Coturnix japonica: one gene and its partner. The main gene of each other region encodes a partner of the protein of the gene in region 2 in a complex. Links are inferred from orthologs where the notes say so. Each region holds a gene or a part of one and is shown on either strand. Other genes may lie near its edges.

What was found.
Region 1: the proteins of SMC2 (region 2) and NCAPD3 are in contact, whole or in part, in a cryo-EM structure (PDB 9F5W), measured with the Homo sapiens proteins. The link is inferred for Coturnix japonica from reciprocal best matches to the Homo sapiens genes SMC2 and NCAPD3. Residues at the interface, in NP_001036015.1 of Homo sapiens: Arg112, Ala122, Asn123, Asn124, Thr125, Arg126, Leu218, Lys222, Arg225, His229, Trp940, Asn942, Ala943, Glu944, Phe948, Arg981, Met985, Arg986; in NP_056076.1 of Homo sapiens: Asp31, Met72, Ile80, Pro127, Gly128, Ala131, Phe135, Pro137, Asp141, Lys235, Gln237, Gln240, Leu1121, Asn1196, Asn1200, Pro1203.

Annotation. Positions count from the first base shown.
Region 1 is NC_029539.1:2,114,525-2,125,616, forward strand, and holds the end of NCAPD3 (condensin-2 complex subunit D3), read right to left. Parts: intron 10,851-11,092; coding exon 10,771-10,850; intron 9,929-10,770; coding exon 9,791-9,928; intron 9,491-9,790; coding exon 9,357-9,490; intron 9,194-9,356; coding exon 8,994-9,193; intron 8,388-8,993; coding exon 8,277-8,387; intron 7,862-8,276; coding exon 7,709-7,861; intron 6,993-7,708; coding exon 6,823-6,992; intron 6,604-6,822; coding exon 6,464-6,603; intron 6,348-6,463; coding exon 6,270-6,347; intron 3,632-6,269; coding exon 3,557-3,631; intron 3,457-3,556; coding exon 3,396-3,456; intron 3,307-3,395; coding exon 3,195-3,306; 3' UTR 2,013-3,194; downstream 1-2,012.
Region 2 is NC_029547.1:59,015,076-59,026,713, reverse strand, and holds the start of SMC2 (structural maintenance of chromosomes protein 2), read left to right. Parts: upstream 1-4,142; 5' UTR 4,143-4,291; intron 4,292-4,644; 5' UTR 4,645-4,722; coding exon 4,723-4,890; intron 4,891-5,422; coding exon 5,423-5,572; intron 5,573-6,216; coding exon 6,217-6,339; intron 6,340-7,254; coding exon 7,255-7,293; intron 7,294-7,434; coding exon 7,435-7,545; intron 7,546-7,736; coding exon 7,737-7,781; intron 7,782-8,250; coding exon 8,251-8,484; intron 8,485-9,264; coding exon 9,265-9,414; intron 9,415-10,044; coding exon 10,045-10,278; intron 10,279-11,638. UniProt on the Homo sapiens protein: Central component of the condensin complex, a complex required for conversion of interphase chromatin into mitotic-like condense chromosomes.

The DNA of each region.
Region 1 (11,092 bases), on a different chromosome or scaffold from region 2:
CCCACATTGTAATCTGCACAAAGCAGGCTTCCCTCTTGCATCTTACTGAGGCTCACAGTGCAGGCACAGAACCCAGTGTGCTAAGTTAGCCCTTACAGGAAAATCAAAGCCAAATATTTCTATGGGCCCAAAGGCCCAGCAAAGGTACTGAGATGTTTGTGAGCTTTTCTCTTTTTAACCTTCTCCTTTTCTTTTGTAAAACCCCACATCCTAAATTTTTTTGCAAAGATCTATTTTGATTACTTCAGAAAAGGTAACGTTTCTATTTCAAGTGTAAATACGTGATGCCAGCCGTGTTTAAGTAACGTGGCTATTTTTTTACTTCCCAAGATACAGAGGAGAGCTCAGACGTTGCTGTACTATGGCACAGTCAGAGCAGCTCGGTGTTACTGCAGTGTAATACAGAGCTGCAGGTACAACAGCATCTCTTCCCTCCTCAGCCCCCCTCAGCTATTTCCTTGCCACGTGAGGTCTTACAAGACCCAGAACAGAGTCACTCAGGGATCGTTTTTGTAGATCTATAGCGGGACCTATCGACTTTTTTATACATTGAACTTTTCTTGCCAGCGACCAACGCTTTGTTTTTGGTGTCGCAAGAAATAACCCAGGGATGGCTGTTGGGATTCAGTTCCAACAAGGTGACAGAGTGACTTTAATGTTTGCTCAACCCCCCTCTGCAAATTCCCTGAGGCACTAACATGGTGCTGGGACAGCTGTGGCAACGTTACAGGTTTAGATGCATAGCCAAGCAACTGCTTCTGGAGTTGGGAAAGCAAAAGGTCAACACAGAAGCACTTTTGTAGTGTTGGTTGCAACTTTTACCAGCTAGAGAAAAAAGAAACCAATAAAAAGAAAGCGATCTAATTCTCTTTGCGTTAAAGAGAAGAAATGGAAACTCATGTTGATGCATGAGTTGATACTGCTTTCCAACACTGGGTTGCATAGAGCTGCAAGATGTGGATGCAACACTAGGACTGTGCTGTGGTTGAAGAACTTTTTTCTTTTTAAATGTAGCATAATTGAGTGTTCTTGTATTTCCAATATGAATTGTCTTCACTCTCCCCGTAGGCAGCGTTTTGAATACTTGATGATTTGGACTGTCAGTGTTATTTTGTTTTAGCGTTCTGCATTCATCTGCTTTGTTTGCTAGGGGCCTCGCTGGACATGCCATTACTGCATTTGTTCTATTTAGATTAAACATTACCACTTTTCCTTTTGCTAAGGAAAGCAAAACTAAAGCCAAGGCAGCGATTTCTTTCTATAACCAAGACGTGGCTGTTTTTCAACTCCATTTTGGCAGCCTTCCTAAGATGGGCACACAGTGGCATTCACTGCACGCTGCCTCTCATCATTACAACAGCAGTGAGCGTAACATTCCTTTGCACTTTCTGTACATCCACCCTTCTGTGCTGCTTGTAGGATCCTCATAATAAAGGAGAGAAGGTAAATGGCTGAACCAGGGTAGCTCTGAGAGTACAATCTACAGCCTTGCTATGAGCCAAAGGCAGCCTTCATGGGGGAAGCCTGCAAACTAAGAATCACAACTTATCATTCAGTTCTGCAATGTGACAGTGGCATCTCTAACGAGAGGAGGGGAAGACGACCCCCAAAGCACAGCTCATGAGATCTGATGGATGGAACTTGGATCATTGTGAATAATTTTTAGGTTTGTACTAATGTATGACGTTTAACTTTGCCAAGAATGTTTTACATAAATACCTGAGCTCTGAAGCGTTCTTGTGGGTTTTTCCTTGTTCTTAAATCAAGTAACCTCATTGCTGGCTTCTGCTTTGAATTCAGTGGAAGAGTTCTCTCTCAGAGCACTCACTTGAGTTGGGCTGCAGGAAGTCCAATGCACATTCATGTTCATCAGTTCATGGTCCATCAGTTCGTGGTCCTTGGTTCTTTCTATAGGAGGCCGATCAGAGCTCACAGGGCTGATCTTTGTGGGACAGAGCAAGAGCTACAAAGCACAAATTAGGAGATAAAATTGGAATCAGAGCAAGATAACATGCAAAGCAGTTAAGTAATACTTTAATGGAGGAGAACAACAAAATAAATGGACGCAGCCATAATTAACCGTTGCTTGAGCCAAAGCCATTCCACGCATCTCCTGCTCTCAGGTTTTCACTTTGACTTTGAGAACAAAGTTTAACCTCACTTGAAGGCTTCTCTATTCTTTCAATAAGGAAAGTGAGAGCAGACAAGGAGATTCCAGTGCAGAAGGTGAGTGACTCTGGAAGGGCTTTGGCACAGAGGCACTAAGCCTCCTTGGCTCCATTTGTGCTGTGATCTGCGCCTTTGGTAAGGTCCCATTTTCCAGTTGCAGTGAAATCCAGGGCAAGAGCTCTGTAATACAAATTAACAACTGAAAAGCTTCACTTAGGCTTACATGGCATCAGAGGGAGGCAGGAGCGTTCAGAACCCAGCATTCACCAGGCACACTGGTGATAAACAAGGCCTCTAGACAGAGCACAAAGGTACGTACATACATGACTTACCAGCCTTGATTTTAGCAAGTTAAAGCAGGATGTGGCAATAATTTGTTAGATCAAGAAGAAGGGAGAAGTTGTGGGTGGAATTAATTCTATAACCATTTATTTTCATAAAATCTTAATAACTGGAAATTGCACAGTTCAAGAATGGAAATATTCCATATAAAAGGACGTGAAGGTTGTTCACACACGCAGGAGTCTGCACAACAAATAAGAGGTGATGTAGCATGCAATTACCAGATCTAGGGGTGTGGCAGTGACAAGCTGTTCTACCTTTGTTCAAATTAAAGTAATTCATGTGTATCACCAAGAGGGACAATGAGGGACTGAGTGAATAAGCCGAGCCACTCACATTCCTGCACACTGCGATAAAACGCGCTTAGTGCTAAGCTCGTAGCAACATTATGCTCGTACTTTTCCAAATGGACAAATTATACATCCTGTGAATGAATTGCAAGCCTCCCTTAATACTAGAGCTTTCGCACTTCCTCACTTCACTGAGCTTTGCCAACAGCAGCAGCAGTTTATAATATAATATATATGTTAACACACACTTTGCGTATCCATACTCCAGACACGTAAAATGTGAAGAAAAACAGGTAAGGAAGGACACTTGTCCACAGTGATTTGTCACTACGGATCAAAGGACAGATTTCCCCCAACATGATGAAGATTCTGCGTAAAAGTTCATGGTAAGGATCAGTTCTCTGTTTTCAGAGGAGTCCTCCGCTGGGATCGTCTCAGAGGGACCTTCTGATTGCTTTTTCTCCTTGCTGGAGATTCTACTTTCCACTCTCGTGGCACGGATGGTCTAGGAAGAAACAAAGTCGTCATGTATTTTAAAGCACTCCAGCATTCCTTCTCACTGTGGTCACTGTTTCGGATCTAGATTGAACTTACAGTTTGTCTGGTGATGTCAAACAAATAATATCTCCCGACTGCTCCTCGGCCTCTTTATTCTCTGCAAATAATGCACATATTTTCATGTTTTTAACATGCCACAGATTCGATCATTTGGGTTTTTATCCCCTCACTTTGAGATAGAATTGTGGGTAACTTGCCTTGAGCGGAACCAGGTGTGTGTGTCAAGCTGATGCAACTGACCCCAGCACCAAAAGTCAAGTCATTAATGGTCTCTGAAAGAAAAAAATACACGTGAGCCAGCTGTCTGTGACACAGCCAGAGGGAAGACAAGCTGCAGTGCAACACCCAGGTGTTACACTGAATAAGTATATCCAGTTCACTGCAAGCAGTTAGGCAGAGCATCTCTCTTCTCCAACCCATCAGATCTCAGTGCCTCTCCATCAGCCTCAAATCAACGCGCTGAATCTGATGGGTCATCTGTGTACATCAGGTTCATACTCCTGAATTACAGCCTTCCCTGTGTGTGGAGGAAACTAATCTACATGTGGGACATGGATGGTGCACCTCCTTGTCCTGCATTAGGTGCTAGAGCCACACCTCCCACTGCAGCTTAGCCACCATCCATAATGATGATGGCACAGCACCTCATGAACTGCCCTCAGCACCACAGTCAGATTGGTTACATGGCCCAAACAAGGCAGAATAGGGCCCTTAAAGGCTGACAAAGGATTTGATCAGCCCTTCCAAAAGGAACTGTTTGCAGCCAGACAAGGAATCACTTGACAGGGAAGCTAGGTAGAATTTAGCTTGCCTGAACAGGCCATGCTTGTCAGCTGTCACTTTCCTGTCATTTATCTCAGGAGAGATGTCACAGTATTCAGATTTTTCTTCTCTCAGCTCTCTGTTTTACGCTCCTGTTTCCCAGAAACCTTCACAAGGAATTACAGTAGAGAATGCTTTATTGAGTAGGAAATGGAAACTCTGCTACAGAGCTGCCATCAAGTGAGGCTTCCCTCGCAATCAAAGAAAGGTATTATCTTCAAAACATGTGTTTATGTATCACAGTGAATAAATCTACACTTGTCCAGACTCACTCAGCCATTCTCAAAGTAATTAGCAGGAGAGATAAGGAGGTGACAGACAGAGGGGACAGACTGACAGGACGGTTGAGTAAGATAAAGAGACAGCTGTTGTTCTCAAGTACAAAATGATTTACAAAGAGCTGCAGCTCCAACAGTGTTAGAACAACGTACCTGGGGGGAAAAGAAAATGTTCCCTTTTGATTGTCTGTCAGCCTGCAAGACCCAGCAGCACCATGCAGATGGTTCAACACAGTAACCAAAACGATACTGCTTCATACAGTTTGTCTCCTCACCAAAGGATGCACGCTGCCTTGAAACTAAGTAGGAATTCAGCCTTAGTACCACTGCAGATTAACATTCTTCCTCCTTGCATGCCATATGGTGCTTATGCTGAAGAGAAACAGCCATGCAAGCTTCCAGACAGAGATATGGCAATTAAAGATCTCCGCTCTCTAAAAACATACCCCAGTTTCTTTTTTGCACAAAGATCATTGCCTGCTGTTCAGCCAGCAAGGAGAAACATCCAGACAGACAAATCGAGCCAAACAGTGGAGCGTACAGGGAGGAGAAGGGCCAGATTTTCCAGTGGATGCACATGACTGCCACTGCTTTGCTCCTGCCTGCTCGCGGATGTCAGGTATTTGCAGACTCCCACACAGCTCACTGCCTTATTGGCTACGTGCCGCTGGCTCTCCTGTGTGCATGCAGGTCAAGTATTTACACAGACACAGGCAAAAGGAAAACAAACCCACACTCAGATACCTGCATTTCTAGATCATCATCACTGCCCCACAAACATGGACAACTGCCTAATGACAATGACCTGTCAGATGCTCACCTGGACTCCTAACTTAATTGGAGTTCACTCCTGAGCAGGGGAAGTTTAGTGTAATGAGAAACAGAGACCTAAAGGAGTTTAATGTGTCCACAAACTGACATATAGCAAGGAAATCTGCTGAAAGTCAGCTTCATTTGTAAGACTGCAGAATGCTGTCAGGAAAAAAACCCATTCCAAAAAGGCATAGCTTTTGAAGGTCAGCTTCTGTGAGATGGCAATTCGGCTGCAGTGGATATAAGCACAGCAGACTCGCAATTTGTGTACTAGAGATTCATCATTATGTATTTTCATTTTAATGCCTACAGCAGAGTCAAAAAAAAAAGAACAACTACATCATTCCTTCTCTAAAGCTCAGTTCAGTTCTTCCTTAGGGCAGAACAATCAGAAATGACTGTGCAGGTTATTAATCCTCCTTGAGCAGATCTCCGTGGTATCTCAATTGACACAGCTCACTGCATGCTCTAGTGACAGAAGCAGGTCACAACTCACCTGGGATCTTTTGTTTGGACAAAAGAATCTCCTGTTGTACAGCTGAAAAGGACTGAACCCCGAGTATTTCCCCCTGCAGCAGGGTTCTGTAATTCAATGCTAAGCTACACTCTAAGTATTAAGGGACAACAGAATCCTGCACAGCCTGGGCAGCGTAACCTGCTAAGGAATTATAACAACATGCCTTCTCAGCAATCCTCAGTTGATAAAAGAAGAAAGGGCAGTGGGTTCGTTGTTATTTTGGGCTGCTGAAAATGTTTTCATGCACTGATTCAATACGTAACACCCTGTGATGTATAAATGAAAACCATATTTGAAGCATCCTTTCCCATGAGACCTTCAGTTTCAGAGTAATTCTGATTTACCACAGCCATATTTCTCTATTTATCTATTGCTAATCCTGACTAGTTTCCTCTGCTCTTCAGGGAAGCCACACATTGTTACCTCTCTTACAGAAGGAGTGCTCAGCCCAATTTGAAAGAGTTCTGTTGGATTACTTACGTTCTGGTGTGCTGATTGCACGGCCCCCCACAGGAACGTGTGCTCCAGTAGACAGCTTATTCATGCTTTGAAAAGAAGCTACATATAACAAGAAAAGAAGAATAGAAATGTTCAGAGACCTCCTGGGTCTAACAACCATGCTGTGTCAACTAGACCCAGGCCGACACTGAACCAGTTTGCAGCAATCTTTCTACCTTGCTTGCTGTTAGCTGTGCTTGGTGGAAGCGAGTGAGCTGATAAAATTCCCCCGGCACTCTTGCTGCGTTGCTTGCTTCTGGCCTTTACTGCTCTCGAGGCAGAGTTCAGGATGGCAAGTGTGCTCAAGGATGCCGGCCTACAGGGCAAAAGACAGACAGTAACACTGAAGTGACTTCTTGCTGCAAGCCAAGGTGAAAAGCATGACATGAGGAAGAGTCCTGCTCCCTCCCAACCCCTTACAATCTCAGGACCAAACATAGATTTCACATTGTGAATTTCACACCACTAAGAGAGAACAGACAAACAAAGGAATAGGCCTGCAGAACTGCAACCTGTAATATAAAGAAACCCATACCTGTGACCATATAAGGGCTGCTTCGGAACATCAGTTCTAGGTGTAGTAAACTCAGAAGGCAAAGAGAATGGAAGTGACCCAAGGGATGAGATTTGCCTCCCAGCAACAGGGGATTGGGCATTATCACTCCGGGCACCAGAAGGTAACGGCATCTCCAAAGATGGAGGCTGCTGCAGAAAGGAAAGAAAGAGCAAATCTAAAAACAGACTAAGTGCAGACAACTCTAGATAAGAGACATCCAGAACAGCTTGCTGTGTGATTGAATCCTTTGTGTGATGGACTTAAATGGATGGTCAAAATTATAACGAGCAGCAAATAGTAAGTTATGATGGGATATGTATATTCTAGTTTAAAGGTCTATATATATATAGGTGCTTCTGTAGGTCAGCAGAAAAAGAAAGGAGCTGCCAGGGTAAAAGTCATTTCATTTTAAGGTAGGTATCTAAAATGATTTGGGACAATTGAGCCAAGCACGCCGACTCTAAAAAAAGATCTGCATGACCAGCACAGATATAAGTTTCCATTCCATTTAAGTATAAAATCAGCCAAAATAAACCCTTTTCTTTTTGACCCATTTATCATCTTTATCACTCTGGAAACAGAGTGATACAGCACATAAGCACCAACAGTGGAAAATTAGACTTCCTTTTAAGTTGAATTGTTTTTATATTAATTGTTTGCTACTTGCCTTTGGCTGACGTGTGTTGTTTGCTGCTTTTCTAACATTAAATGAGTTTGAAACCAAAGCCTCGGTCAGCAGATGCACAGAAGTATGAGAATGTTACAACATCCACAGATGTACAGAATTTAGGTGTTATTTGTATAATTTTTGTATAGACTTCTGTAGAGCAGTCAGAAGGCATACAGAGTTAACAGCCCCACCAACCTCTGCCTGCGATGGCGAGACTTGCTCATGGTCTGACTTTTCCTTTTCCAGCTGCTCTTCATACTTCTTCATATCATACTCCAATTCGGCTGCCAGCTGCTTGTCCACAGCAAAGAATTCTTTGATTTCATTTCGGTAGTCTTGCATCATTTCCTATAGCAATAGAGAATATTTAAACCCTTTCAGAAATCTCTCCTGACTACTGATTCATGTCTCCATTCAGATCACAGCTGCTTAAGTGCAAAAGGAAATACCAGTTGGTAGAGCAGAGGTGTTTTTAACAGACTAAGAGTTTAAACTCCAATTTGTACTTCAGAACATGAAAAACCTTTCCAGCATTCAAGCTTTCTGCCCACATTCCATGAGGAGGCTCACACGTAACACACTGTGAGATCCCAATCTAAAATCCCTCCACCTCCTGCTTTATTTAACACAGTGGCAGTGTCACAACATCATATGCCTTCCAAATTTCCTTCTAAGAAGGCTGTTCGCTCCATTACTGGTTATGTACCTAACACATTAAGTTAAGAGGGGGAAAAAAAGCCAACAAGAGAACACTCCTCCTTACCCGTAAGTAGACCATAAGGTCCCTAAGAGCTGGGATCTTCTTCCGCTCCATCAAAGATTTCAGCTCAGCGATTATTGGGATGATGTTTTCTATGAAATTCTTCTTTTGAACCTTTGTTTAAACAAGGCACAAACAGTTACGAGATGCAACAAAGGAGAAATCACTCTGTTGTTACATGAATGGGCTAAGTGAAAGGAATTACTGCTTCATAGCATAGGAATTATCACAATTAAGCCCACTTTTATACTGCACGTGTACAGGTTAGGCTTTTAACCTAAATGGGAGTCTTTCAAGATGGATCACTGAGTCTGCTCGTACATTGAAAGCAAATTGTCTAAAGGTGCACCAAAAACCATTTAGGCTCAGATGCTTTAACAATAGGAGACGTGTAGAAGCAATTTAAACAAATTAAAGCTGCTTTTTCTTTTCTTAAACAGGAAATGCATTTCTGATCACTCCAACTGACCCCTCACAAGCACAAGGGTCTGTTACAAATCTAGCCTTAACATCTTGTTTTCGCAATACACAGTGCTTCCATACAGGCCCTTAGGGCAGAGTGGATCTACAGCCAGAGCCTGAACAACAACATATATGTATTGCATGCCCTTGGTAACAATACATGAATAATGCTTGCCAAGTCTCTGCAACACAGAAAGCTAAAACTCCTCTCAGCACTGTGGACAGTCCTCTTCCCAGCCAGATCCAAGTGCCATTTACCTGTGAGATGAGCTTTTTTTGTGCTGCCTGCATGACAGCATTAGCCATTGCCATTTCATCTTCATCAGGCTGAATGTCGTCTTCAGGTTTTGATCTCATAGTCGACAGCTTGATTTCTTTGCAACTAAGGATAGCAAACGTATCTGAGAGCAGCTCACTGGCTTCCATGTCCAATGGAAGGACCCCATCTACAAAGCATGCTGGAACAGGCAGGGAAGAAGTAAAAATCACTTCAGAGGAAAAAACAGTGCCAGGAAAGACAGAAAGGTAACACCATAGGACTCACAGCCTTATGGGTTTATTTAAATGGACACAAGTTGTCTGCCAGATTAATTATCTTTTTTTCCTGAAGGTGGCCCCTACCCAGGACACTGTGGCTGATCTTTGTTGTAATGCTGAACCTCTGCTCGTCTGTAAAGTGGTCCAGTAGGAACTTGTAGATATACATCCTTTTTTCTTCGTTATCTTTTCCTTTCAGAGAGAAGAGCTTCTTCGCCCTGTAGTAGAGAAAGACATTTTACGTGGTTAAGTCACATTATGCCATCTCACAAAAATAGTAAGACTTGAAATCAACAAGGAATATCTGCATGTCACTTTCAAGACCCATCAGTGTGCCAGGATACCACACACTCCCACAAATTACATGCAGAAATTCTCCCACTTAATTTAACACCATCTCCTTGAGCTGTTTTCCCCCTACTGCATACATCAATATGAAGTACCACAAATGCTTTCTGTAACCAAAGTCTGCGTGGCCACCATTCAGGAGTAAGGAGGTAGAAACGTGCTCAACTGACCTCTCGCTCTGTGGGAACCTGTTGTACTTCTCATGCTTCTCGTAGCTATTGAAATGGAAGATGCACTCAATGAAGTGCTGGGAGAACATTAATGGATTCCTCTTCAGCAAGAGATGCACCAAGCAGAACTCTGCAAAACTAGAAAGGAAAGAGAAGTCACCCCTGAAACACAGCAGAGGGTCACAGGCAGTACAGGAGGAGTTCTCCACTCCTGAGTCTCCCTCAACACCCCCATTTAATACCTGCCCAGTTATATCTGGGCTTAAACAACATACTAGCTTATTGACCTTAAGCTCTGCAGTACTGCTCTCTTATTGCCATTGAAACAGAGGCAGAAATAAATTTAACTTGAATGCAGGCACAGCATTTTCATTATCTTTATGAGTGAAGCTCCTGAAACACAGCACTTTCTGCAAAAAGTTAATCACCAGAAGTCTGGCAGGAGCTGAAAGTCAATCTCAGACTTGAAGAAAGTATTTTTTATGTAGATACAGCCTCTGAATGCAGATGCAAAGAAAAAGGCTACCAATGAAATAGCAGCGTGTTCCACAGCTAGAATTCAAGGAACAAGATGCTGCAATGCCACCACCTACTGGAAAGATATTTTTGCATATTAAAAAAAGAAGAGCAGGCTTGAATATGCAACTTGTAAGCAATGATGGGTTGACAGCCCTGGGAAGACCAAACTTAAGTTTGGATGTTCCAGGCAGAAAGTTGTCCAAGTCTCATTGGCACCCAGCATCATCACAACCTTCCATCCTTGGAGGAAAATGCCTCTCATTTCCCCTAAAGCAAAGCAGCTTCAGACTTGGAAACACAAAAAAACTTCACGCATGTGTACTTATGATCAGTGTGAGCGATTCTCCTGCTATGTCAAAGTACTACAGAATGTGGCAGAAAGCTTAAAAAGGCCAAGCATAAAGAACAGAGTACATCTGTGCTCCTCAACACCTCCAGTATTTTACAGATGAGTATTTTACCTGGCAATATCTGGATTTGGATCCACCAAGACACTAATGAAACGGAAGAAGAGACAGTCCTTCCATTTCACAAACTCCTCCTAGAAGAAAAGGACAGATGATAAGTAAGGAACAAGGAAAAACCTCACATGAGGCTTCACAGAGCAGCCAGGGCAGTATCTGATGGAGCCTGCCAGAACATACATCGAAAAATAAACAAGCTATACAACTTCACCACTATGTACAGAAAATAAACCTCAAAAAGACAGTTCTAGGAGATGCTTGAAGCAGAATAAGCACACAGCATCCAGGTTCACCAATAAAAAAGCAGAATCAAGAAAAA
Region 2 (11,638 bases):
GTGCTTTCTCAGAAAATACATTTGTTTGTTTCTGTGGTTTAAAAAAAAAAGAAAAAAAGAAAAAAAAAGGTAAAGGCAAACCACTCCCATGCTACATTACATACACTGCAAATATCTGAGCAAGCATGACGCTGCATTATAAAACAATAAAGCTTTAGCTTCAGTTCTTCGTGCAAAGCTGCCAAAACCCAGAAGAAGGTAAAAGGTTGGATGTGAAAAGTCATTGCACAGCAGAAAGACAATGTCACGTGCACTTTGTTGTCATTCTGAGAGGTTCACCTGCTCTGCTGAAGAAGCCTGCACAGGAATGGGTAAGGGGTAACTAAAACCTGCAGAGAAACACCTCGGCTGCCCTTCACTTTTCAGAAACATAAAATCTTAAGAACAGTTTCTGCTAAGAAAGAATAATTTAAAACCTACAGATTAGAATAAAGTTTGGACAATGAAAAACTCTGCTAGAGTTTCTTGAAGGACATGTTGCAATTTCTTTCTACTCACAAGACATTCTAGAGCTTCTTTCCATCAGGTTTTAAACTCTCATTGCTTAAAAATTGAAACAGTCCAAACACATGCTGCAGCATCATGAATTGCAAAATTCCATCAGAGCTGTTGAGACATACTGCAGATCAAGCACAGCAATGGTTTCACTTCCTTCACTTGCAGGAACGTGTCTGTTACTGCATCACAAAGAAATATTTCCTTTGCTTTATTTTCCAGTTGTCAAAACAAACTTTTTTTTTCCTTTTTAAAATTTTTTTGGAAGTTACGTTCAGCTTAGTTTTCAGCATGACTCCATTTAATTTAAAACCTAAACCTGACTACGTGAAGCAAGTTACTCTGTTTCAGAGGAAAGTGGGGCTGGCATCTGATCTTGTAAAATTACTGCAAGAACTTCAGGGTTTACTAAGCCTGTCAGCTGGATGTTCCTTCCCTCATTTCTATTGCTCACTATCCACTTCTACAAAGAATAAGCACCCCAGACCACTGTAGAGCTGTAATGACACAAGTTTTCCCCTTTCTGCTAGAGAGCTTTAAGTACATGTAAGGGAATTTACACACACACTTATGTGCCTGCAACTCCTCTGAGGCCACCTCCTGAATTTATGTAGTATTATAACTGCACATTCATTGCTGAGTAGGTTCCTGTTCAGGGATAAGTTCTTGCTCAAGAAACTCACTGCTCTAGGCTATATATGGTACCTGACACACATTTGCTATCTGCAGGTCTGAATATCAGAACTGCCAAACGTGTAATAATTAGAGAGGAAACAATAAAGGGAGAGTTATGAATGAGATTCTAAGGAATTACGATGGGACCTGTAAAAGTACAGAACAGTGACCAGTATCTGTTGTATCATTATTTACCATACACAACTTTAGACTGCAGAAAGTACCTGACAAAAAAGGTTCACCCACTCCCTTGGTACACAGAGAGCAGTGCAGTGAAGTATTTACTATTCAAAACAGTGAAAACAGGTGCATCCATGGTGTCATGGTTCAGCCCTGGCAGGCAGCTCAGCATCGCTCAGCTAATCACTTACTATTCCAGGTAGGATAAAGAGAGTGAGGAAGGTCAAGGGGTAAGATCTCATGGGTTGAGATCCATAGAGTTGGCTAGGTAAAGCAAGAACTGCATACACAAGCAAAGCAAACCACGAAACCCTGAGTAACCTGTGGTACAAAGTCCCAGGAAACTGAACCACTGCTTTCATGTGTGGATCTTAAATGCTCGTAATTGGTGCAAGACAATCTATACCTGCTTCAGACTGAGAATCTTCCTTTTTTTTTTTTCATTAACAATATTAAATCATATCAACCTACATAAATACAGCAAAGAGTAAGAGAGAAACAGGTCATTAATGCAATCTCCTGCAATATCCTAATAGCCAAATGATGAGATAAACTGGTACAAAAATGAGGTAAGACAGAGAACAATCTGGACTGCCACATCTGAAGCACTAAGGTCAGTGGTACAAGGTCAAAAGATTCCTTACAGATCCTATTTCCGGGTGTGCTGATCAGCAGCTGGCTATACGTAAGCCACCAGTGAGCTCAGATGGCCAAGAAGACCAATGGCATCCTGGCTTGTACCAGAAATAGCAAAGCCAGCAGGAGCAGTGTCAGGATGTGCAATGCAGGTCTCCTCTTACCTCAGCTTTGGGGGTGGAGACCCACAAGACCCGTGTGAGAAACAGACAAAAGAGGAGTCTTAAGGTGGCAGGATGTTCCTGTTTCGGTTGAAGAACAAACCAGATCATGGTTTCAACATAGAATCTTGAAGGCTGCGGTGTCCAGAATGAGAATGTTTCATTATCTGTGAAAATAATATTTAAGTTAATTCTTTGTAACTTGAATATGAGCTCTAAGAAGAATCTGCCTATAATACTCGACTTTCAATCCAAGTATTACTAAGGTTAGGAAAATATTTTTGGGAAGCATGGGGGACTGGAAAGGGGGAGGGAAAAGAGAAAAGAGGCTAAATGACAGAAGCAAGAAGAGAGACAGAACACACAGGAAACTGTCCTTCTTCCAACACAATAGAAGTGCCTTCCTGGTAAGCCCTGTGACCATAACTCTTGGTGAAGAACACACAGGATAGCATTTATTTTGCTAACACTGTTATCATACATTAGTACAATTGCACCTATTATATGTACCATGGGTGGTCCTGTATCTGTTGTATCTGTCAGTTCAACAAATGGTCTGTTTTTTAAATGCTTTTGAAACTGTTCCAGTGAAAGTGCTTAGGGGTGCTCTGACACACAAAGTGCCACAAGGGGAGATTTACAGCCTTCCATGGCTGCTTATTAATGAGAGTACAGAGAAAATGGAAACCAGCCCATCTGAGGGGAGTCACATGGCAGAGGAGTAAGTCTGCAAAACAGGAATTTCTAGTGAGATGCAGAAAGTCCATAACTTGACAGGCTTGTGATCAGTTTGGTTTGTCTGGCTTGGTTCTGACCTTGTGCTGAGGCTAGAAGACTTCCAGAAATGCCTATGAACTTAAATTATTCTATAACTATGACATAATGGAAACTTATACTCACAACTCATACTTTGCTCCCTGTATAACAAAGAGTGCTTGCTTGGTATAAGCAACTGCAAACACTAACACACTGTGAACTAAAACAAGTGTTAGGGGCAAGGAAACTTGTGGCCTCATATTTATTTTAATTGTTTTTATTTATTAAAAGTTTCTACATGAAACTTCTCAAATCAGCTAAAGAAACAGAAAAATCCCATGGGAAATTTACTCTAGCAGCACACGCTTTAATATTTTCCATCAGAACCAGGTCCCAAAAGAAAAAGGAACAATTATATCTTCTATATAATCAACAGCATTTATAGTGCGATTTTCAAAGAAACCCCAAACCATTAAAATTACAACATTTGTCTACCTAAGAGGCGTTGTTCCATTTCACATAAAATAAAAGGTGTTGTAGTACCAAAATAGAACATTTTTGTCTCTTTATCTACTGCAATGTGCCTTCAATTCTTATGAGGTTCAACACCTACCAGTGAGAAAAATGAAAAGATAAAAAACCAAGAATCTTTCAGAATCTTTCATATCACTAACTAGTCAGTGGTTTCCCACAGATCAAGTACATACAGGAAACTATCCACACAATATTTACACACAGAAGTTACAGAGCTAATAATTGGAAACACTAAAGCCCAACTGGCAAAGGAATACAGAGCTCTGTTCGTAACACAATGGTCTATTTTTACACTATAACAGCAGCTTCAGGGCAACAGAGCTCTGTTTGTAACACAATGGTCTATTTTTACAGTAAAACAGCAGCCTCAGGGCAACGCCTGCAGCTGAAGAACCCAGCCTAAAACGAACAGTGAGACTCCATTAACACCCACTCCACCTACCCTCAGGGGCGGAGATCCGCCATTTTTGTGCCTTCCCGCCCAGACATGGCAGGTCCTTCAGCCTGTGAGGCTGTCCTCCATACTCGCCTGACTTTATGAAGCCTTCCTCTCCGTCAAATAAACTCACTACATTCTTACTGTGCTCTATTTTTATTTATAAAGAACTCGTTAAGTGGGCTGAAAGTCTCTCTTCCCTTCACGGGGGGCAGTGGACCAGACAAGCCGAGATCTCTGCATCAAGGCAGAGTGTTGGACACCCATAGGCGGGCTCTTCCTCCAAAGGTCGCTTCCTCTCGGCGCCAAAATTCAAACGTTAGTTGCCGCCGTAGTTGTGCTGAGTGTGTGAAGGAGCTCCGCGGCTGCCAGCGGTTTAGCGAGGGCTTCCTTCGCTTCGTACGTGTGGTACGGCTTGGTACGTGTGGGGATGGCGGTTCGGTGGGGTACAGGACAGTCTCGGGTCTATGTCGGTTGAGGTGCGTGACTGTGTCTGCCCGGACCCCAGAGCGGTAGATGAGGATGTGTGGTGGGTGGGTGGGCTGTAGCCATAGGGATGAGCAGTGGGTGAAGTCGCTTTATTTTAATTGTACATATTGGAATGCTTGCTGGGTTTGCGGTCCTTTATGGTTTTCTGATAAAAAAAATGCTTGCTGTTTTGATTCTGATGTTCCCCTTTTCTTGTAGCTGTGTTAGGCATGCAGTACAGTTTGCTTCTTTTGTATGTGTGTTTTTATTTTATTTTTTTTTCTTTTTTTTTTTCCTTCAAAGCATGAAGTGTTATAATCCAGCCCTTAAATTGTGCCCTTGGGGGAAGCACCAACGCGGCCCTTTGACAGCTTAAAGAAGATGTACATCAAATCAATTATTCTTGAAGGATTTAAATCCTATGCTCAGAGGACAGAAATCTGTGATTTTGATCCATCGTTCAATGCCATTACTGGCTTAAATGGCAGTGGCAAGTCCAACATCTTGGACTCCATCTGTTTCGTACTGGGCATCTCCAATCTATCTCAGGTAAAGAGAGAGGGCGAACTTAACAGAGGTCGTCCTTACGTCATCAATCTTTCATTTTAGTCTCCTGAGAAATCTCTGGTGGAAGACCCAAAAAGTGTTATTTCTGTTAAAAACCTTTGCCCTCAGTTGATTTGCTTCCATCCTCCCCCCTCCCCAGTTCTAACTCTAGATTAATTCAACAGACTTCCAAGGAACACTTTAGTGCACTGCATGAGTAATGATGAATATTCTATCTGTGGAGGTATTAGTGACTGAGCTAATAATTTAGCTTTCTATTATTTTTTTCTTAAACACCCACTCTTTTTTATCAGAAATATCATGTAGAAACAAATGGCAAGTTCTAGCTCACTAAAACTTGAACATTCTGCTGTTGCAAGGAGCACCAGCGTCTTGCATCTCTGGTATCTCTCATTGCCCTGAATCTTCAGTGTTATAGACAGACCCACCGAATCCGTTCATTTTGCCAAAGCAGAATAACACAGCAGCTATTTGATTTCTTTCAGAAGTTCATTGATCTGTTCCATATATTTAGGTGCGAGCTTCAAACCTCCATGATTTAGTTTATAAAAATGGGCAAGCTGGAGTAAGTAAAGCAACCGTGTCTATAACATTTGATAATTCTGACAAGAAACATAGTCCACTGGGATTTGAAAATAGCAATGAAATCACCGTCACCAGACAGGTAAGCACTTAATGTGTGTAATTGTTTGCTCAGAAAACTATGTACATTTTTACTGTGCTTAACAAAGTGACCTTTCAGCAGGAAAATAAAGAGTTTTAAAAGTCCTTAAGTTTTTGCAACTGAGACAATGATTCTACAGTGTTGTTAGCAAAATGTGTAGAAGTGGAACCATTGTGCTAGGTTAAAAGTTGTAATTACTTGGGAAATAAGATTAAGATAATTAAATGCTGTATATCACTGGTGTTTTATGTGGAGCTGCACAAAAACATACTAGCAGTAGAATGTTCCTAAATAAATTCTAGCTTTCTATCTTGTGGCCTTCATTTCTGAGCTTTGTGGTAGATTCTGTTTACAAAACATGGAGCTTTTATAAGAAATCCTTCATAGTTGGGGAATTTCTTGTCAGTCTTGAACAAATCTTTACCGTCTGTAATTGATCTTATTTAAAGCTTCTATTAGGACTGAAAAGTTGTCTGAAAAATCTTTAAGGTCTATTGTTATCTTGGGCATGGTATGTGCACACAAAGCAGGAGTGTATGGAATTTTATTATTATTTTTTGATACATTTAATTATTTTGTCTTTTTGCAGTATCAAGCCACTTTTAAATCACTTGCAGCTTTTTCTCTTTCTTTTCCTCATCTAGGCTGTTGTTGGAGGTAGGAATAAATATCTTATCAACGGTATAAATGCTTCCAACAATCGTGTACAGGATCTCTTCTGTTCTGTCGGTCTCAACGTCAATAACCCTCACTTCCTTATTATGCAGGTATTATGCATGCCTTTCTAAAATTCAGAAAAATACAAATGACACTAAATTTGTGGAATAGCACTTTTTTTTTTTTTTATTAAATAAAAGGAACTTTCATGTGAAAATTGAACATTCAGAAGCTAAGATTTTTAGAGCAGCCCAGTATGACCCTGACTGAATTTTTAGCCCTTGCTTTCTTTCATCTCCTCATTTGTCTTACAGGAGGCATTTTCTAAGGCATATGCCAATTTTGTTTTCCTTCTGGTCTCTAAGAGATGTTTCCTATATTATTACATAGTAAAAAAGGGTGTTTTTCCTTATTTGCTGTGTTCTTTGTTAGACAGTATTTGGTATTAGTTAGTATGCTTGCTTTATTAAATCCCATTTAGAAAAAGATGAGCTGGCCACGTGAAAAGACTCTTGTAACCCTTAATAGAGAGACTAAATCAACCTTTTATAGATTTGCATGGAGTAACAAAATGGTAGAATTTACTTGCTTCAGATGGAGTTGTCCTAATTATTATATATATATATTTTTTTAAAAGGTCAGTTTTCATACCCTTTTTATTCCTCTTCCCTCCCCCCTCCCTTCACAAATGAGCCAGATTACCAAGCAACCATAATCAGGAAGTTACTTGAGATCAGAAAGTCAGTAAGACTGCCAGAACAAAATAAACACAGCATCACTTTCTTGGATGTGAGCAGCAATGCATGTAGAAGCTCTAAAGGCCATTTCAAGCTTGCTGTTTGAAGAAAGGACTTATTATTTGTTTGAAATTTAGAGAACAAAGCAATTTATTAAACTAACTTTGCAATAATAATAAAGAAAGGTTAGCAATTGGTGTTTAAAATGAGTATGGGGGTTTTAATTTATTTTTTACTACTATAGCATGGTACACAATTGTAATTTTCCTTTTGTCTTTCTTTAACCAGGGGCGAATTACTAAAGTTCTAAATATGAAGCCAACGGAGGTGAGAGAACTATGACTTATTTATTTTTTTCTTTCTGGATAAGAAAGTGTTATAGAGGGATAACATGTTAAGCTTGCTTTAGGTTGAACCAACTTGACATGATAAAAATCATTAAAACTCTGTCAAATTATTTTATTCTAGATTCTATCTATGATTGAAGAAGCAGCGGGTACCAGGATGTATGAATGCAAGAAAATGACTGCCCAGAAGACCATAGAGAAGAAGGAAGCCAAACTGGATGAAATTCGAAGGGTTGGTACTATATGTGGGAGTGTGTGCTTTATTTGCTAAAGATAATGGATTACTAGCACAGGGTGGGTTTTTTTTTGTTTTTGTTTTTACTTGTAAACTATTTCCTTTCTTTATATGTTTCTCTATGTGCAGATATTAATGCTACATGTGTTTTAAAAATCTGAATACCAATGTTCTGGTTTGTGTTTCAGATCATAACTGAAGAGATCAGCCCAAGTCTAGAGAAACTGAAAGAGGTATGGAATATTTGGAGAAGTGGTAAGAGGCTTTAAAGTACTGAAGAAATACTTTCAAATAACTTGAACTGGTATGTGGAAGATAGGACGTGATATTTTTTCAGCCTTTTTAGAATCTTTTAGGTGATGTAAAATTTATCACCTATCCAAATATAGACAGTGTGGTTTGCAGGAATTACAAGATATATGGGAGAGGGACATAGGGAACAATAAGCAAATGAGAGAAACAGAAAACATAGAAGTTAAATTCTTGTCTTAGTTGTTAAACTTGCCTCAGGTGGAGTTTCTGTTATACAATCAACTGCACTAGTACAGCTTCATCTAGAATTTTCTTAAGTAGGTTTGCAGTGTACAATACTGAACGTTATATATTATATTCATATTACATATAATATTCTATAACAGTACTACCCTAATTTTCTTTCACCCAATTTTAACCCTTATTTTCTTTCAACCTATATCTTTTCAGGCACGTGCATCGTATCTAGAGTACCAAAAAATAACACGAGAAATGGAGAATTTAAAACGCGTCTGTGTGGCTTTTCAATATATCCATGCTGAAGAGATAAAAGATCAGACTACTAACGCTTTAAAGGAAGCAAATGAAAATAAGAAGAAAAATTTGGAATTAATGGCTGTGAATGAGGAGAAGGTAAAGGAACTTGCACAACAAATAGAAGATATGGAAAAGAAAAACAATAAGGTAAGTGAGAACCCAGATACGCTCACCTGAAAGTCTTAATAGAAGGAAGTATGTGAGAAGAAAATTATTTTTGTAGATGGTATGCACTTAGATTTTACTCCTTCTATGGTGAATTGTTTAGATTATACACCGCTTACTCAATAGTAGTCATTCCCTAAACGGGGGTGTCTATAAAGTTTTAATGTCTGAAATACTGTATTTCCAACTGCTGTAAATCACAGAATATCCCAAGCCAAGAGAAACCTTCAAGGATCAGTTTCCTATTCAGTAAATTCCCAAATAATATCAACAATTTTGCCAGGCATTGGAGTGAGACTGAGTGATTTAAGATGATAACACTTTTCCCTCATATTTCTACTCTGTGTATTCAGTGGAAAACTTTATCTGATTTTTTTTTTTAATTTTTTTTTTTTTTTTTTTTTTTTTGTCCATTTCAGATGAAATGCACTTGCAGTGGGAAATACAAAAATCACTAGTGACCTCAGATACAGAGGTAGAAAAAGTAGTTATGTACTGAGTATCCCACAGCATCTTTTCATTCTTAAGTGCAACTCCTACACTTCCCCTGCAAGGACAGAGTTTCTCAGTAACTACAGTTGGGCTCTAGCAGTGGCTTCAAATTAGTACGGACTTCTGTGGGAAGAGGTTTTAGCCCATTTGTTTTGGAGTCTCTATCTGCTTCATCAGACATGCATCTCCTATGTATAGCTATGATCAGAAAATGAAATCTTAAATATTGGATAACAGTATACATAAAATTTCCATTGTTTCTGAATTTAGGAATTTGGTGCTAAGTTACAGTCGCTGGAAGCTGCTCTTTCAGAACTCCAAAGAGTTGATGCTAAAGTCCGCAGTGATCTTGATCACAAGAAGAAAAACTTAAGTGGTGAAAAGAAAAGGCATAAAGAATTGACTAAAGTCATGCAGGAGGTAAGCCCTTTGTTTATGTTATTCTTTTTAAGCACTGATGTAGTTCGGTGTGCATTGGGACAGCAGGTTTTTATTATCTTTTCAAGGTTGATGGGAAGGAATAGCAACAGGAGGGCAGAAACAAATAATAAGTGGTGTTACTTGATTTGTATGGCACAGTTAGTAGACTGCCACTAAAAACAAATAAGATGTATTTATGAAGGAAGTCCAGCTCTGCTGTTGACAACTTTGTTTTAATTTTGGGAGGAGATCCCAACTGCGTTCAGGAAACCTGCTAAACTTAAAGGAAAAACATCTACTTCATGCTCTTGACATTTAATTCATTTCTCTTAAATAGGAACACTAAATACTTTACAGAGAGCTGCTTTTCCTGGTTGTGCAGTTATCATTTTTTCCTCTATTTCATTTTTCTCTGTACATGTTGTGTTGAGTGTCCTCAATGAGCAGGTGCACGCTTGAAGTATGTAAAAACAGGCTGTGAAAACAAAAAAGCTGACAAAAGGTTTTAAAATCTTGATCAGTGAAACTAATCATAGCTGTACATCATCTGATTTACCAACATAAACTTTAAGTTAATAGGGGTTGTTTTTTTGTTTGATTTTATGTATCATTATTGTTTTTTTGCTAAAGGAATTTAAAGCGATAACATCAAAGGAAAAGGAAATAAAGAGTATACAGGAAGATCTAAATGGTTTACAGGAGGAAAGTAAAAAAGGTGCAGAAGCTTTAGCCACAGCACAACAGCATTTTAATGGTGTATCTGCTGGCCTGTCTAGCAATGTCAGTGGTCGAGGAAGTTCTCTTGCTGACCAGATGATGACCTGCAAAAATGAAATTAGCAAAGCAGTAACAGAGGCTAAACAGGTAAGAGTCAGAGCTCTCTTGATGCACTGTTGGGAAAATTATAGAATATATATGCAAAGTATTTTGGCATAGGCCAAAAAATGTAAGGTTTTTTTAATTAAGCAGGCTGTTTAAAACAGGGAAGTCCTTGAGCCAACATAAGGAAAAGTTACAACATTGCCTTGAAGAAATACAGCAATTGGTATACAGATGACTGACAGTGTAAAATAGGAAGCTTAGAATAGGAAATTAAAGTATGTCTGTATTTAACTAGCAGGATCAAGTGTGTCTGAATAGGGAGTTTGGGAGGAATTACTCTATTACATTTTATGCTAGTCACATTACTTGAAACATGTCGCATCCTTCTTAAGATAGGAAACTTGCTGTGGTTGTTTTGATGGTGGAATATAATTTTTTGTTGATAAACTTGCACCATCCTTGACTCATTTATGGAAAAGCTCTTCTGAGAAAAGCAACAAAGGTGGTTCTGTCCCAGAATATTTTAGTTTCTTTCTTCTCTTTCTTTGATACTGTATATGTGGTAATACAGGTTATTGCATCCAAGTATGTACAATAGAATAGTTCATAGCATGGCAGCCTACAGAATGGCTTGGGTCAGAATGGACCTCAAAGCGCATAAATCTCCAGTGCCGCACATGATTCGGGCCTCTTGAATGCCTCCAGGAAGGACACATCCACAGCTTCTCTGGGCACCTTATGCCAGTTACTCACCACCCTCTTGAGCAGAAAATTTCTTCCTAACATCTATCTCCCATCTTTTAGCTTAAAGCCATTCCCTCTTCCCTGTTACTATTTTCCCTCTCCCCTCCTGCTCATGAACTCTTAAGTATTGGAAGGCCAGAGTAATATCAGCCTGGAGCTTTCTCTTTTCCAGGCTGAATAAGCCCAGCTCCCCCAGTATGTCTTTGTAGAAGAGGTGCTCCAGCTCTCTGATCATCGCCTTTGTGGGCTCCTCTGGACCTGCTCCAACAGCTCCATGTTTTCTTTGTGTTTGAGCCGTGGGCATAGTACTGCAGGTTGCACCTCACAAAGACACACACAAGAAGACAATCCTCTCCCTTCTGCTTCCCCTGTTTTGATGCAGTCCAGAATACAGTTGGCTTTTTGGAATGCAAGCACACACTGCTGGCTCTAGCTTTTTGTCCACCAGGACCTCCAAGCCCTTTTCAGGACAGCAGTTCTCAATGAGTTCTTTTTTCAGTTTCAGGGAAAGGAACTGAGAAATTGTCAGGGATTGCTATGTTCCAGTTGCAACAGCTTGCACTTGGACTTGCTGAACCTCATTCAGTTCATGTAGGCCCACTTTTCAAGCCTGTCCAGGTTCCTTTGGATGGCATCCCTTCATTCTGTCATACCATTT